Sus scrofa: one gene and its partners. The protein of the gene in region 1 purifies or fractionates together with the protein of each later gene. This does not show direct contact. Links are inferred from orthologs where the notes say so. Each region holds a gene or a part of one and is shown on either strand. Other genes may lie near its edges.

Region 1 (4,793 bases):
TTTTCCTTTTGCAGGGAGAGGAAAGGAGCAGTGATCATCAAGAGTTACAATCCATCTGAGCAATGAGTCCTTCCCCAGTCTGTCAGTGCTCGCCAATCCAGTCAAGGTGTAAATAGCATCTGGTTCCCTCTTCGAAGGTCAGGCCCCAGGAGACTCCAGTCTTAGCTCTGCTGGTGTGTGCAAGCAAACTGCATGTCTCTGTGCTTGCGTGGATTTCCTTCCTCTCCAGGGCAAGCTAATACCCAAAACCCCTGGGAAATGTTCCAGCTCTGGCTTTGTAAGGTATCCACGTTCCTTATATGTAGCCCACTTGGTGCCAGGTTGCACCAGCCACACACAGATGAGGTGGCCATGTCCCAGAGAGGCCCAGTGAGGCTTGAAAGGCATCTTCCTTGTTTCTTCAGTGTGTGGGAGGGCATATGCCCCCCCGCAACCCTCCCCTCAAGTTATCTGCTCTGGCTTTGCAGTTATGGGGCTTTGAACACTGTGCCATATTTGACACGGTACTTGTTAATGCTCACAAAGTGCAGGGTCTCTGTGTCACAGGTGGTAGTGCAGGGCACCAGGCCCTCCAGCCCCTCGCCCATAAGCCACTTGCTGGTCTCCGCTGCCATTTCACGGGGCACATGCTCCTTGGTCCATTTATCTACCCAGGCCTGGAACCTCTGATGTAGCCGCTTGCTTACACGCTCATGGGACTGCAAAATAGAAGGGAAAAAAATAACATGAACTAGCATCAGAAATCTCTGAAGTACAAAGCCCTATTTTCTCCTAAAGTAGCAAGGGAAAGATGTGGGCTCAGGTCACTGTTAAGTTTTAAAAAAAGAGGAGTGTGTGGGGGGCAACAGGAGTCTACTTGAAGATAACTGAAAGAGACTAAGGACCTAAAACATGTAGCGAGTTGGAACTCATAAAGCCCTCAGAAATGCCAACACAGGGTCTGGGCAGAACTAGCTCAGTGCTTCTCGATTTTAGCATCCATCAGTATCACCTGTGGAACAGGGACAGTGGGGTCAAGACAGACTTGATAAAAATAGGTAGAGTTTCTTGTTTCCATCAATTTACATTTCTAAACCAGCAAGCCAGCTCTGTACCGAGAGTGAGACAACGAGTTGAGGTTATTTCTGTCAGCATGGCAATCCACTTCTATGTAAAACAGCTGCAAGGCAAAGGGCTTCAAACCCACTCCCTCTTCCCACTATTACCCCACCCTGCCCAGCAACGTGCTGGGCATAACAGGTCTTCAGGGGAGGTTTTCCTTCCTATTCATTCATCTGGTAAATATTTATCGGTGCCCATGAATGCATCCCCATCAGTGTAGGGGATACAAAGATAAATAAGGTGTGGCCCAACTCTACAAATCATTTGAATCAGAGACATGCAGACATACAACACACAGCACAATGAGAGAAGTACATTAAATCTCCCACTCGACAATCTCCCCTGAATGTTTTATAGTCCTTTCTAACTTAACTAGTTCAAAACAGCATGCTTGATCTGCTTCCCAAACCTGGAAACCCCTTCCTATTAACAAAACTCCCCATTTGCTCAAGCAAAATAAGCAAAGAAACAAAACCCAAATCATCTGGTATCATCCTTAATGTTCTCCTTTCTCTTAACTTGCCTACATCCAATGGTTACTATATCCTGACAATTACAGCTCCAATCTAATTTTTATAATTTCACTGCCACCCCCAGAGCATAAGTAACCATCACATCTCATCTGGACGAGAGTAGTCTTTCAAGTGGTCTTTGCCCTTCCAACTTCATGTACTTCCAACAAAATCCAAACCATGGCCTATGAGACCAAGTCCTGTGGCCTCTGCCTACCCTTCCAACTTTATGCATCCCACTTTCCTATAGCTCAAGGCACACTGATGCTTTTAGTTTCTTAGACAAGCCAAGTCCTTTCCTCTCTCCCAACCTTGCACTTGCTTGTTTCCTTTGCCCAAAAAGTACCAATCCCCAACCCTGCACCAGGCTGGACCCTGGTCACTGTTCAGGCTTCAAGTATCACCTCCTTAAGAGAGATCTTCCCCCCAAAAAAGCAGGGCCCTGCCTGGCAGTTACCCGTGATCATGTCACCTACCTTCTTTCCTTGGTAATGTGCATCATCACTTATATGCTCTACCTTGTGGTTGTAGCCCAAAGACCCGGCACAGTACCTACTACATAACTGCACATAACCTTCACAATTGAGGCAGCATGTGAAAACAGGATTCATAAAAGCAATTGCTACTTGAACAAATGAGTAGCTTCACTGGAAGATGCCACCAGATGTTATCTTGGGCGGGTGTGGTCCTGGCTGGGGAGGGAGAAGTGTGGTCAAAATTCCAGTTACGGTTCTCACCTGATGAGCCCGGAGCAAGGCGGTCCTCCGATACATGTAGTCCTCTGACTTGATCACATACACCATCTTATACGAATTCAGCTTGAATCTACACTCCAGCTTATCCAAGCTATCCGCATTCTCCATGGTTTTCTTGCTGTTTCCTTCCTTCCCTTCCTTTTCCTGCTGCTCTCGACCACGCTGACACTTCCGGATCCGCCGCAGATTCCTATAATGCAGAAGAGACTGGCAGGATGATAGCTTGTCCAGATGTAGAGTCCCATGGCTGCCGGCCCCTCCCTCCCCCAAAGGGAGCTTTCCTTATCATATACCTTCACAGTACTTATCATAATATTAATCACATTTTTTTTTTTTAAATTTTTAGGGCCACAACTTCAGCACATGGAAGTTCCCAGGTGAGGGGTCAAATCAGAGCCATAGCAACACCGGATCCCAGCCACATCTGCGACTTACACCACAGCTCATGGTAACACTGGATCCTTAACCCACTGAGTGAGGCCCAAATCTTCATGGATTCTAGTCGGGTTTTTAACCTGCTGAACCACAAAAGGAACTCCCTACATACATTTTTAAAACATTCAATGGCTTCATTGCCAAAAAAATATATATGTATATATTTCAACTGCAGGGATACAAAGAATAAAAAGTAGAAATTGCCAGAGTTCCTGTCATGGCTAAGTGGTAACAAACCCGACTAGTATCCATGAGGATGCAAGTTTCATCCCTGGCCTGGATGCCCTGCCTGGGACCTGCCATATGCAGTTCTCAAAATTCCACTTGCCTTGGCAGAAGAAACCACTGTTAGCAGTTTTGATTTAAAATATTCTAGGTCGCAATCTATCTTTCACTTAATGTCATGAAGATTTTTTCATTTCACTACATATAGATTTGTGTCGTTCTCCCTCTTTTTTTTTTTAATGGGTGTACCACAGTATATGGAAGTTCTCAGGCCAGGGACTGAGTCTGAGCCATGGCTGTGACAACGTAGGATCCTTTAACCCACTGTGCTAGACTAGGCTAGCCCAGGGATCAAACCTGTGCCTGCACAGCGCCTCAGCAGCGACCTAACTCACTGCAGTTGGAGTCATAACCTACTGCGACACAGTGGGAACTCCTGGTGTCATTCTCTTTAACTGCTACAGAGGAATGTGTCTCAATTATCATTCCTTTTTTTTTACTTTGGTCTTTTTTGGGCCGTACCTGCAGCATATATAATTACCATTCCTTAATGGGAATCAATCAGGGTTCTTCATGTGAACCACAGGGCACAGGAAACTATTTAAATGTCTATTTTTTTTCAATTCTCCCAAAGATGGCACATAACTAAAGCTGTTTTACATGTGTAGGAAAGAAGATAATTCACATCAGTGGATGCCTTGGCAGTTATTTAGAGCTTAATTCCCTCCAACAAGCAGAGAAAGGTTGTCATCTAGACAATTATATTGTTTCCTACACCTTGCTATTAAAAACACTGCTTCAGTGAATATTTTTGGACACACACATTTCCACAGGACAGCAGTTCTTTGGTCCAAAGATTCTTAGAGGCCCCCAAGATCCTTTTCCAGGAGGTTTGTGAGATCAAAACTATTTTCATAATAATACAAAAACATTTTTTTTTTAACCATGTTAACATTAGTAAGGACAGTGCAAAAATAACAATGATTATAAAAAGAAAAAGGAAAAAAAGCTGGTGGTGGCACCAACCCATTCTTAAGATGTCTTGGTACTCTTCTCTGGCTATGCACTGACAAAAAAGGAAAGATGGTCTGACTTAAGAATGTCTTTGATGAAGCAGTAACTTAAAAAAAAAAAAAAAAAAAATTAAACCCTAGGCCCTTAGTTCACATCTTTTTTTTTTTTTTTGGTCTTTTGTTGTTGTTGTTGCTATTTCTTGGGCCACTCCCGCGGCATACGGAGGTTCCCAGGCTAGGGGTTGAATCGGAGCTGTAGCCACCGGCCTACGCCAGAGCCACAGCAACGCGGGATCCGAGCCGCGTCTGCAACCTACACCACAGCTCACGGCAACACTGGATCGTTTTTTTTTTTTTCTTAACACTGGATCGTTAACCCACTGAGCAAGGGCAGGGACTGAACCCGCAACCTCATGGTTCCTAGTCGGATTTGTTAACCACTGCGCCACGACGGGAACTCCAGGTCACATCTTTTTATTTGTGTTTGTTTGTCTTTTTAGGGCTGCACCTGTGGCAATGGAAGTTCCCACGCTAGGGGTCAAACAGCAGCTGCAATTGCTGGCCTATGCCACAGCAACACAGGACCTGAGCCGAGTCTGCAACCTACAGCACAGCTCACAGCAACACCAGCTCCTTAACCCACTGAGTGAGGCCAGGGATTGAACCCGAGTCCTCATGGATACTGTTTGGGTTCGTTACCATGGAGCCACAGCGAACTCCAGTTCACATCTTTTTAATATGCTGTGTGATAA
Region 2 (5,314 bases), on another chromosome or scaffold:
AAAAAAAAAAAACCCTAAAGCAAACACTTTATTAGCAATCCTTTGCTTTATAAACTATATCCTCATAACATAAAACATTTGAAATTGTAACTAGAAAGTATCAGTAGGAATATATAATTTTTTTCCCTCCAGGTACAAAATGAGTCAACAATTCTATAACAGACAGATTTTAAGAAATTTTAACTTAAAAATCCAAAAAATTTTTTTTGTCTTTTTGCCCTTTCTAGGACCTCACCAGCGGCATATGGAGGTTCCCAGGCTAGGGGTCTAAAAATTTGGAGCTGTTGCTGCCTGCCTACACCAGAGCCACAGCAACGCGGGATCTGAGCTGCGTCTGCAACCTACACCACAGCTCATGGCAATGCCGGATCCTTAACCCACTGAGCAAGGTCAGGGATCGAACCCAGAACCTCATGGTTCCTAGTCGGATTCATTAACTACTGAGCCATGATGAGAACTCCAAAAAAAAATCCAAAAAATTTTAAATTAAAAATCCAAAAAAATTTAAAAATCCAGAAAAGGTATATTCATAGTAAGTGTCTCATAAAACTTTAAGTTATTCAGTCAATGGACTCCTGAAAATTTTGTTTTCAAATGAAAAGAAATACTGCTATTCCAATTAACACTAACAATACATCATGATTAAGTGTTATTATAGCTACATAAAGGCAACATCTTTTTGGATACACAATAAATGTATGGCTAGGAAACGAAGACAACCCTTTTGATAAGCAGAGCATAATTTAGAAAAATCACTGGCTAAAAGCTACATTTTAAAGGGTTAAGATATGAACTGATGCCTCAAGACTTGTAGCTGTACCTACAAGATTCATCACACTAATCTTGGTATTTAAAAAAAAAAAAAAAGCTTCACAAAGAAATGTCTATTTTTAGCAAATGGTCATGATCAGAATGATACACTGAAAGGTGTGAGAAATTTCACTCCACCATTCATTTTAATCTTGACAGTAACAAAATGATTGCTATCTCAATCTGTCATTTTTTTTAAAAGTTACATGTACTCAAGCTCAATTCAACACTTCTAAGTACAAACGTGAAAGTCTATAGAGAAATATTTTTAAGTAGAAAATGATTTTTCATTTTCCAGTAAGTTTTCTCAACTAACATTAAAGAAGATACATGTGTCAAAGAGATACATCTCCTTCAAGGAGAAAAGAACACAAGAAAAAGTTTGGGAAAATACTGTTTCAGAGCTTAATACACTGAAAGTTAATGAGTAAGGAATAAAGTATCTTTTAAAGTTAGTGCATTTACAACTAGGGCAAATTAAAGAGAAATACTTTTGGCAAATAAGTAGATGACCGAAACATTCAAGGCCACAGAATTGCAGGATGCTATAACTTCTTTACCTTTAAACATCACATATGATGTTTGCAATATTATTTCCAATATTAATTGTCTTCTGAAGACTTTTATTTTAGTTTGAATATGTTTAAATACTATAAAGACTGAACTAAAATTAAGTATTAGTAATTATAATAATTATAATATATAATAATACTTAGTATTAGTTCATTTTCAAATATTTTAGCCACGGAATTTCACCTTATCCCCAGAAGAAATGCTATCTCCCTGACACAATCCACATGTTCCATCCTTAGAAAATCGCATTGGCACTGGAGAAGAAAAAAACAAATTTCAAAAAATCCCCCAAACAACCAAAGCAGGACAGAAGCTTTACTTCTGCAAAGGTTGCTGCCAACACAGGAAGTGTTTAAAAATACTAGCCCAATGGACAACAATGGAAAGGCTGCACCAGCCTTTCCAAAGTGCTAACTGCTTCGGAGAGGGGACGAACTGACCGCATTTAGACACAATGATCATTTCTCACCCAATTCAACATGTCTTCATTTTCAGAAAGCGCAGCTTAGTAATCAATTTTGAGTAGAAAAAAATAAAGAAAAGAAAAATGACATTCCACAGCTCTAGCCTCACGACAGGCAGTGTCCAGGGCACGAGGTTCCGAGCAGCGTCGACTCCACTTACCTTCATTTTTACTGGTGATCTGTGGGGTTCCAGCTCAACGAGCTATCTTCTCTACCGCTGGAACCAAGGGGAGGGGAAAGACGAGCACAGAATCAGTCAACAGAGGGGAGCGACTCGGGGAAAGAAAGTAAACAAACGCCTGCGGGGAGGGGCAGAACCCTCACCAGGGAGGGCGAAAGAGCCCCTCCGAGGGCAGCCAGGACGCAGGAGCCGGAGGGGCGGCGAGAACCCCACGGGCGCCAAAGGGCAGCGGTTCCGCCTCAGAGTTCGCCAGCGGCCCACCGCGCCCCCGCCTCGCTCGCCACTTTGACCCGGAATGCTCAACTCAGAGCCCCAGGACGGCACGCTCCGGAGAAGGGCAGGGCGCCGTTGGGGCTTCCCCAGGTCCCCTGCAGGCGCGGTCGCCGAGCCTCCTCCCGGCCGCCCCCGGATACCCCGACTTCGGCCCGCGCCCCGCCTCCGCAGCTCGGCCCCCTCGGCCCGCCCCGGGCCCGCGGTGGCGGCAGCGGAGTGTCACGGCGCCATTGCTCTCCTTCCTCCGCTCTGCACCATGTCAGGAAGGAGAAGCGCTTCTTCACCCCAAGGGGCAGGGGCCGCGGCCTTCAGCTTGGAGGCGCGCGAGGAAGGGAAGACCCGCGAGGGGGAGGGGGCTGGGGGGGCGGAGAGGAGGAGGGGAGGTGGCCCGGACAGGGTGTGGGAGGGGAGGGGAGCCGAACGGCAGCAGCCGCCGCCTCCTCCCCGCGCCCGCCTCAACTTTTTGTACAGCCCAGAGCGGTACCAGCCCCCAGCCCCTCGGGTCCTGCCACGGACTCCAGGGGGGAGGACGCGCCGCGGAGTTAGAGGCCGGCTCCCCCAAGCAGCCAGCTTCTCGCCGCGCGGAAGCAAACTTAGCGGCGCGGCCAGCCCCACAGCCATTTTCCCGGGGAACCCGGGGAAGCGGCCGGGGAGGCAGCTGCAGCGGCTGTTCCTGCAGTTGCTGCCGCTGCTCCACGAACTGCCCCTTCTCCTGCGCTTGTCGCCCCGCTTGCCAAGCATCCCCCTCCCCACCTCCAAAGCTTCCAACTGTACCGGGACCCCGGGCAGCAGCACCAGCTGCTAGTACCGCTTCGTCCATTCAGTATCGCCCGCTTCCCTTCTCCCCACCTACCAACTGAGGGTGAAGTGGGCGCTGTCAGCTCCCGAGTCCTCCGCCCCACTGACCCCCGTGGGCCCCCGTCCGGGCAGCACCACTCTCGGCCGCCGCGGCAGTTCCTGCGCCCGGTTCCCTACTCGCCCGATTTACTGCCACAATCCACCAAATAACAAGCTGTTGAGCAGTCTCGCTTCTACACGAACTCCTATTGGCTGCTCATGACGCCGAAGAGTTTCGGATTGGAGCTCGCTACCTGCCGTCCTCATTGGATGTAGCTCTGAAACTTCCCGGATTGGTGCGAAAAATAGCAGGTAGGACATCTTCCACTTATGATTGGCTGTCTCCGAAGACTAACGTTACTGGAGAATCAGGTATTGAGTTAGTAAATCCTGAGAAATGATTGGTAAAGAGGACTCCGGATGTGCTTGACTGAGCACTGATTGGTCAATTGGGGGGGTCAGGAAGAGCAGTTCGGCACGAGGATTGGCGGTGGGGTGTCCCATGGAAACCGAACCCGGCGCTGCGCCCAGGACTTGCACGGGGGCGGGGCAGGTCTTTCCAAGACGCCTGCGCCGAACCAGCTTGTCGGCGCCATTTTGTCTGGGCAGCGGTGGCTGCAGCTCTATCGCTTTTTATGTTTCTGGCCAGACGAGAGCGGATTCTTTAGTCTGTAGATTCGTTTTTCTGCGGCACCCATCCACCGTTCTCTCCAGGACAAAACCTAGTGAACGTTGGAAGAGTCGCGATCTGCCGGAAAGGTCAGTTCGAAGCTGTGGTTGTCCGGTGGGCTGGGGGATGGCGCAGCATTGGAGGCACCGGCACCGGAAGTGAGGGGGCCGCGCGGCAGCCATGGCCGGGTATGTTCTCCCTGCGGCGGGGAGGGGAGCCGGGAGGCGGGTTGAGAGGGGGCGAGGCTTCCTCTCCCGCTGCCAAAGAGAAAGAGGCGGAGGAGACGAGCTGGTCTTTTTTTCCTGGCCGATCCTTTGGGCTCCTCTTCTCTGGGAGCAGTACTTCCCTTCTTTGGAAGTGGGTTTCGGCAGCTTGTCATACTCTGTGATCGAGTGTCACCAGTTATAGGCTCCTTTTTCAGGAAGACGGGGAAGGTAAGGTTCTTAGACCCTCCCTACCTGGGGAGAGGTGTTTCCGCGTGCTCCTCCCGCGATGAGGCAATAAGGAAACTGGGTTTGGGGCGCTGAGGAATTCTCTTGGCAGCAGCCCTGCTACTTTAGACGTGCAGCTGTGCCACCCTTCTGGAGCCTTATACTACTTTGGGGGAGGAAATACAGGGACTGAAAACTCCTGACCTAACCCTTATCATCACTCCTTAGAGGAAAGGTCCTCCCCGGTAGGACTTTGTTCAAGGCAGCCGTTGAGCTTGTTGTGATCTTGTGTTGTTTTCAATAGAACAAAATTACATTTGAAATTGTGGAAATAAAGTATTAATTAGCAAGTTGAGTTAAAGAATGAAATAATTAAATATGTAAAAATCAATGGTAGTCCACATTGACTACATTTACTCGTTAGGAGAATATCTTAATTGAGTCAATTTTTCATTCACAATAGTGCCTTTTCTTAGAATTACTAGAAAAGTAATTTCTTAGTTAAAATAAATGCATGTTAGTTTTTCTATCGAATGACCTTGTCACACTGATCTAAATAACTGCATAAAATTATCTTCATAATATTCTTGATTTGAACCCTCTTATTCATGGGGCTCCAGACTAGAAAATGATTGAATGATTTAATAATTTATTGAGATTTTTTTTTTGGCAGTTGGTCAGAAGAAAACAGGACAGTTCAGTGACAAATACCCGAAAGTATTACTGAGGTGAGCCTGCCTGAAAAAGTTTTTCTGTGGACCAGTAAGTAGAACCATAAATAGCAAAATGAAAAAATGGTAGTTGAAAAGTGTTTGTTTGGTCAAAGGTTCAAATAAGTCTGTATAACTAGCTTCCTGATGTGATACTTTAGAATGAAGTCCCCAGATTAGGACATACTTATGAGTCTGTTTACTCAATTATGCCTTTCCCATTTCTGGATTTTTTAAGTGCTTCATATTTTTATCAAGAAACAGTGTGAACATTTTCATGATTTTTTTCCTCCATATTTAAAATTTTGGCATATAGAAAAGATATTTCAGTAAGAGTTGAGAAGTGATTTTTTTTTTTTTTTTGG
Region 3 (5,262 bases), about 5.9 Mb from region 1:
CTCACATGAATCATTTGCCAGTCTCAAAAAAAAAAAAAAAAAAAACTAATCTTATTATCTTCACCACAGAATATCTTGCTCTCCTACTCTTAGATTCCTATTGCTCCCTCTCCCAAAATTACTGTCAGTCAGTGAGAAAGAGAAAAATGAAGAGAAAAACAAGAAAATTTTCAAGGAAAGCAACTGCTAGTTATCACCTCTCATATTTCTTATCTTCTATTTTTATATCACATATAGTTGTCACATCAGAGTAACTGAAGCACAAAATGATCTGCATATTGATCCTCATCCAATAAAGGTCAAACTATCAGAAAGAATTAAGTTATTTTCCTATAGCAAGGAAGTATACGATCTTTTTAACTTTTCTGAAACAGATTAAAATTATTTCTGGCTCTTAATAGCTTATTTCTTGGCTATTTAAAATTTGGTCCCTCAGGATGACTCACTCCAAAATATCTCTGGATAGTACAGTTGTCCTGTAGCCTTAGCACCTGCCCAGGACCAAGGCTGGAGAAGAATAAAACTGGAAACTTTTTTTTTTTTCCCAGGGCTGCATCCACAGCATATGGAGGTTCCCAGGCTAGGGGTCAAATCAAAGCTATAGTCGCAGGCCTGCACCACAACTCATGCCAATGCAGGATCCTTAACCCATTGAGCGAGGCCAGGGATCGAACCTGTGTCCCCATGGATACAAGTCAGATTCATTTCTGCTGACCTACAATGGGAACTCCAAACTGTGGAATTTTAACATGTAAGATACATGGGAGAAAAGAGATGCTTTCGCAAGATGCAAAACTGCAAAATATATTCAAATAATTTCTTTGCACTTAAAAGATCTGACTTTTAGTTCAAATTATTATTACATTCTTCACAAATTAGGTTGTCCATTATTTTCTGAGGATAAAAAACAGTGAAAAATCATAAAGGTCAACATAAAAATCAGAGAGGCAAAATTTTAGTAAATGTCATTTTGCAAGCTCCTAGCTCCCGTTAAAAAATAAATAAATAAACACTTAAAGATAAAATGTTTCACAGATCTCGGAAATACATTCACATACAGTCTAGATGTTCTTTCTCCGTATTCTTCACTTTTGGCATTTCGCTTTTTTCTCTGTATTCTTCACTTTTGACATTTCACCTTTTTTCATGACTAGGCTGATGACTTCCTAACTGTGCTTCCCATCCCAGGCAGGTTTTAATGCCATATTTCCACCTGTCAGTTTGGGGCACTCTGGCTTTATACCACCATGACCTCAAAAACAAGATGTCTGTAATACTCTACCTTCTACTTTCATCACAAATCTTTTACTTTTCTATTTCTTTCTTTTTTTTTTTTTTTTTTTTTGTCTTTTTGCCTTTTTCTAGGGCCACACCACGGCATGTGGAGGTTCCCAGGCTAGGGGTCTCATCCCAGCTATTGCTGCCATCCTATGCCAGAGCCACAGCAACTCAGGATCTGAGCCATGTCTGCTACCTACACCACAGCTCATGGCAACGATGGATCTGTAACCTACTGAGGGAGGCCAGGGATCGAACCTGAAACCTCATGTTTCCTAGTCGGATTCTACTTTTCTATTTCTGTTCATGCTACCCCAGAGATTTTTTTTTTTTTCTTACTTTCACTCCTAAACTTGTCATCAACCCTGCTTCCTGCTTTTTTTTTTTTTTTTTAAATCTTTCACATCTATATCTTCTCTTTTTATAGTTCAGATTCTTCTCCCAGTCAACCAGATTTTCTCACTCTTTTGAATAAGCTTTAAGTTCCGGCGCTGGCACTTTTTCCTACATTCCTCCCCTTATAGAAACACCTGAACACTAACTCCAATTCAAATTCTACCCATTCTTCAAGATAACTTAGGTAATTCCACCTTCAACTAGCCTTTGCTAACCATTCCACAGTGAAAAGATTTCCTCTGCCTCTGAATTCCTACAGTATTGTTTACAGTTAAGCATTCAATTGGCAATTTAAGGAAGTGGTGACCTATGAAAGATCTTTAATTGAAGTCAGATCGTAACTATTTATACCTCACACTGAGTAGAACCCAGAATTGCACGAAGAAGTCACTTATAAACACTTATTTGGGGTTGGTTGATTTATTGACTGCAGTACATTCTTCCACGGAGGTTCTTTGAAAGGAAACCTGAAAAGAGGGTGTAGAGATGACAACACACTGTCATCAATCTGTCATCAATTCTTGCTTTACATGGCCAAAATCAGACCAAGACAAAAAATAATGTCTCACATTCATTATATGGACAGAAAAAAAGAATCCAAGTAATCACAAATTCCATTTGTTTTTAAAATAATAATTCCTAAAAGGGTGCAAAAACTATCATCCATGATGTTGGGCTCCTCTCAGTCTTGAAAAGTTCAGAGAGATGCTGCAAACGGTACCGCTCCCACGTCAGCCCCCCGAAAGAGCACCGATGTCAAGTACTGACTGACACGTTGACTTGGAAGCTGAGATTAATAAATTCTAAACCGGCCAGGAGCCAATACAAATCTACCCTTGGCTCAGACAACCCACCCACGTTGCGAAGTAAAGGTTGCAAAGGTGTAAAATAAGAAGTGGGTGGTCTGAGGAGAGGAGGCATTTCCAGAGTCTCCCAGACAGGATGCGGGACAGTCCTCGCTCCGGACGGCTCCGGGCACAGCCCGGAGGTCCCAAGGGCGGGGCGGACCGTGGGCAGGTCCGCGCGGCGTCCAGAAGTGCGGCGAGTCCAGGCTCGCGCCCTGCCCAGCCCCGCCCCGCCCCGCCCCGCCCCGCCAACCGGGATCCGCCAGGAGCACAGGCAGCGCCCGGCGAACAGTCCCGGTGCTACCGAGGGCCGGGAGTGAGTCTCCGCCCCTTCCCTCTCTCCCCGCCCCGCTCTCCCAGCAGGACGCAGCTGCCGGCGTGCAGAGAGCGGCCTGGCGCTAGTCTGGCTCGAGGACTTGGGGTCCCAGCTCTGCTGGGTCGCGTACCTGAGCTATCTCCATCCTCAGAGACCGACGAGCTCTCGGTGTCCTCGTCCTCAGAGCTGCTCCCCTCGTTTTCGGCGTAGTCCACCTCCATCTCATCGTGATGGTTCGTCTCCTTCTTATCCCCTCGAGAATGGACTGGCATTTTCCAGCCGCGCCGTCGCTTCCCACTCCCAGTGCCCAGCCCGGCCACCGCCGCTTCAGTGAAGGGCGCGCGGAACGCCCCGACCCACCCAGCGGCGGAGCTCGTTCTGAAACCCCTCGGCTCCTCCCCGCCCCCGGCCCGAGCCTCACAACCTAACCCGCAGGCTCTGCGCTGGGAGCTCTGCCATTGGTGGAGGCAGTGCTCCTAGCCGGGGGGATGGGGCTTGTGTAGCTCGGGTCCGGTTGGTTACCAGTAATTACGGCGCGGCCTCGCGGTGTATGTTGGGAGTTGTAGTCCCTAGTGGTTCAAGACCCGCAGGGGCAGCCGGCTTCCAAGCTTCAATGGCCCGGCTTGCTTCTCCTCTCTGGACTTCAAGTCCCACAAGGCATGAAAGCTGCCAGACTCGATCGGAGTTTGTAAACTAAGCAAAAACAGATTGTGCGAATTTGGTCTTTATTTATTCTTTTCCCGCCAAGTGATTGTCTGAGCGCCCAAGCTATCCAAAATGTTACTGTCAGATGTGAAAAGGTCTTTTGCCCGAGGATTTTTCCTCCCCTTTGAGGCTGAGGGAACTGGAGAAATGTTTTTACCTAAGCATATTTATTACCACTAATAAACTAATATTAATAAATTAGTTTCTGCTGACGATAACTTGCACTTTCTATGTTGCACAAAAATCTTCCAATTGTTTTTTGAGACTTTTGTAATCAAAAATATGGAAAGAAAGGAATTTTTATCATGGCACTTTCAGCTAGTATTTTTTGCATTCGTTTTTTACCATATGCAACGTGAAAATGCCACCGGTCTTAAGTTTTCAATGAAAAATACACTCTGGTCACTCTTTATGTGCCAAGCACTGTTATGTGCTTTAAGTACATTAATTCACTTAATCCTTATAAAAACTCCATGAACTACATATAATTAGCCTTCCGTTTTGTAAATGAGGAAACTGAAGCGCCAAGTTAGATTACTTGGCCAAAGTCACACCACTAATAAGTAGCAAAGCTAAGGTTTGAACTTGAGTAGTCCAGCATCAGAGCCCACACCCAACCACCATCACACAGTGCCCCTGTAGCAAGTGCTTTCTGTTCTGCTGCTTAAAGAAAAACAGAAGGAAGCTGGAGAGGAGGTATGGATTCTAGCCCTAGTTCTACTGATAACCAGGCAATTCATTTGGGCAAATCACATAATATCTCATCAGTGGTAAAACAAGAAGGTTGCATTATGTTATTGCTAAGTTCTCTTCCAGCTCTAAAAGTCCTGTCATCATTATATTTATGTTTAAGGCAGACAAAATAATATAAGATTGCGCAATTAGAGTTACAGGGTGGTGTTTTGCTTAAAAGGAGTTTCTCTCTCCCCTCCTCAAATAGATTTTTAAAAAGATGTGTAGCAAATGTAAGAGAAACCATAAGGGGAAAAATGAATAAGGCTGGAAAAGAATATTGTCAGCTTGGAAAATACAAATTAATATAAAGCAAACCATGAAAGCTGAGTGAAGTTTCCTCAATCTAGCCTTTAAAAGGTAGGAGTTGGGATTTCCCTGATGGCTCAGTGGGTTAAGGATCTGGCATTGTCACTGCTTTGGCTCTGATTACTGCTGTGGCCCAGGTTTGATCCCTGGTTTGATCTTCCACAGGCCGAAGGCATGACAAAAAATAAAAAAAGTAAAAAGGTAGGAATGATGCCTTCCATTAATGTAGCACTTTACATTTTGTAGGGCTTACACTATCTTTAGATCCATTTTAAGTCTCACTTTTTCTTTCACTCTCTTTATAATGGTCACAGCTGCAGCGTATGGAAATTCCCAAGCTAGGAGTCAAATCTGAGCTGCAGCTGCCGGATCCCAGCTGCATCTGCAACCTACGCTGGAGCTTGAGGCAACATGGGATCCCTAACCCACTGAGCCATGCCAGGGATCAAATCCGCAACCTCACATACACTATGTTGGGTTCTTAATCCACTGAGCTACAAAAGGAGCTCCTCTCACTTCGCATTAATTCATTCATGCTTACTTATGGTCAGGAGTTCCCTTCCTGGCACAGTGGAAACGAATCCAACTAGAATCCATGAGGATGCAGGTTAGATCTGAGGCCTCGATCAGTGGGTCCGGGATCTGGTGTTGCCATGAGCTATGGTGTAGGTCACAGACACA

The links.
Region 2: the proteins of SIN3A (region 1) and ARID4A purify together in Homo sapiens (affinity purification with western blotting; 6 studies listed by BioGRID and IntAct, with this or other methods). This does not show direct contact. The link is inferred for Sus scrofa from reciprocal best matches to the Homo sapiens genes SIN3A and ARID4A.
Region 3: the proteins of SIN3A (region 1) and BRMS1L purify together in Homo sapiens (affinity purification with mass spectrometry; 3 studies listed by BioGRID, with this or other methods). This does not show direct contact. The link is inferred for Sus scrofa from reciprocal best matches to the Homo sapiens genes SIN3A and BRMS1L.

What each region holds. Positions count from the first base shown.
Region 1 is NC_010449.5:58,240,588-58,245,380, reverse strand, and holds part of SIN3A (paired amphipathic helix protein Sin3a), read right to left. Parts: intron 2,559-4,793; coding exon 2,351-2,558; intron 699-2,350; coding exon 468-698; 3' UTR 1-467. UniProt on the Homo sapiens protein: Acts as a transcriptional repressor. Corepressor for REST. Interacts with MXI1 to repress MYC responsive genes and antagonize MYC oncogenic activities. Also interacts with MXD1-MAX heterodimers to repress transcription by tethering SIN3A to DNA.
Region 2 is NC_010443.5:187,383,371-187,388,684, reverse strand, and holds the start of ARID4A (AT-rich interactive domain-containing protein 4A), read right to left. Parts: upstream 3,332-5,314; 5' UTR 3,151-3,331; intron 2,065-3,150; 5' UTR 2,014-2,064; coding exon 2,008-2,013; intron 1-2,007.
Region 3 is NC_010449.5:64,120,522-64,125,783, forward strand, and holds the start of BRMS1L (breast cancer metastasis-suppressor 1-like protein), read right to left. Parts: upstream 3,332-5,262; 5' UTR 3,108-3,331; coding exon 2,966-3,107; intron 1-2,965. UniProt on the Homo sapiens protein: Involved in the histone deacetylase (HDAC1)-dependent transcriptional repression activity. When overexpressed in lung cancer cell line that lacks p53/TP53 expression, inhibits cell growth.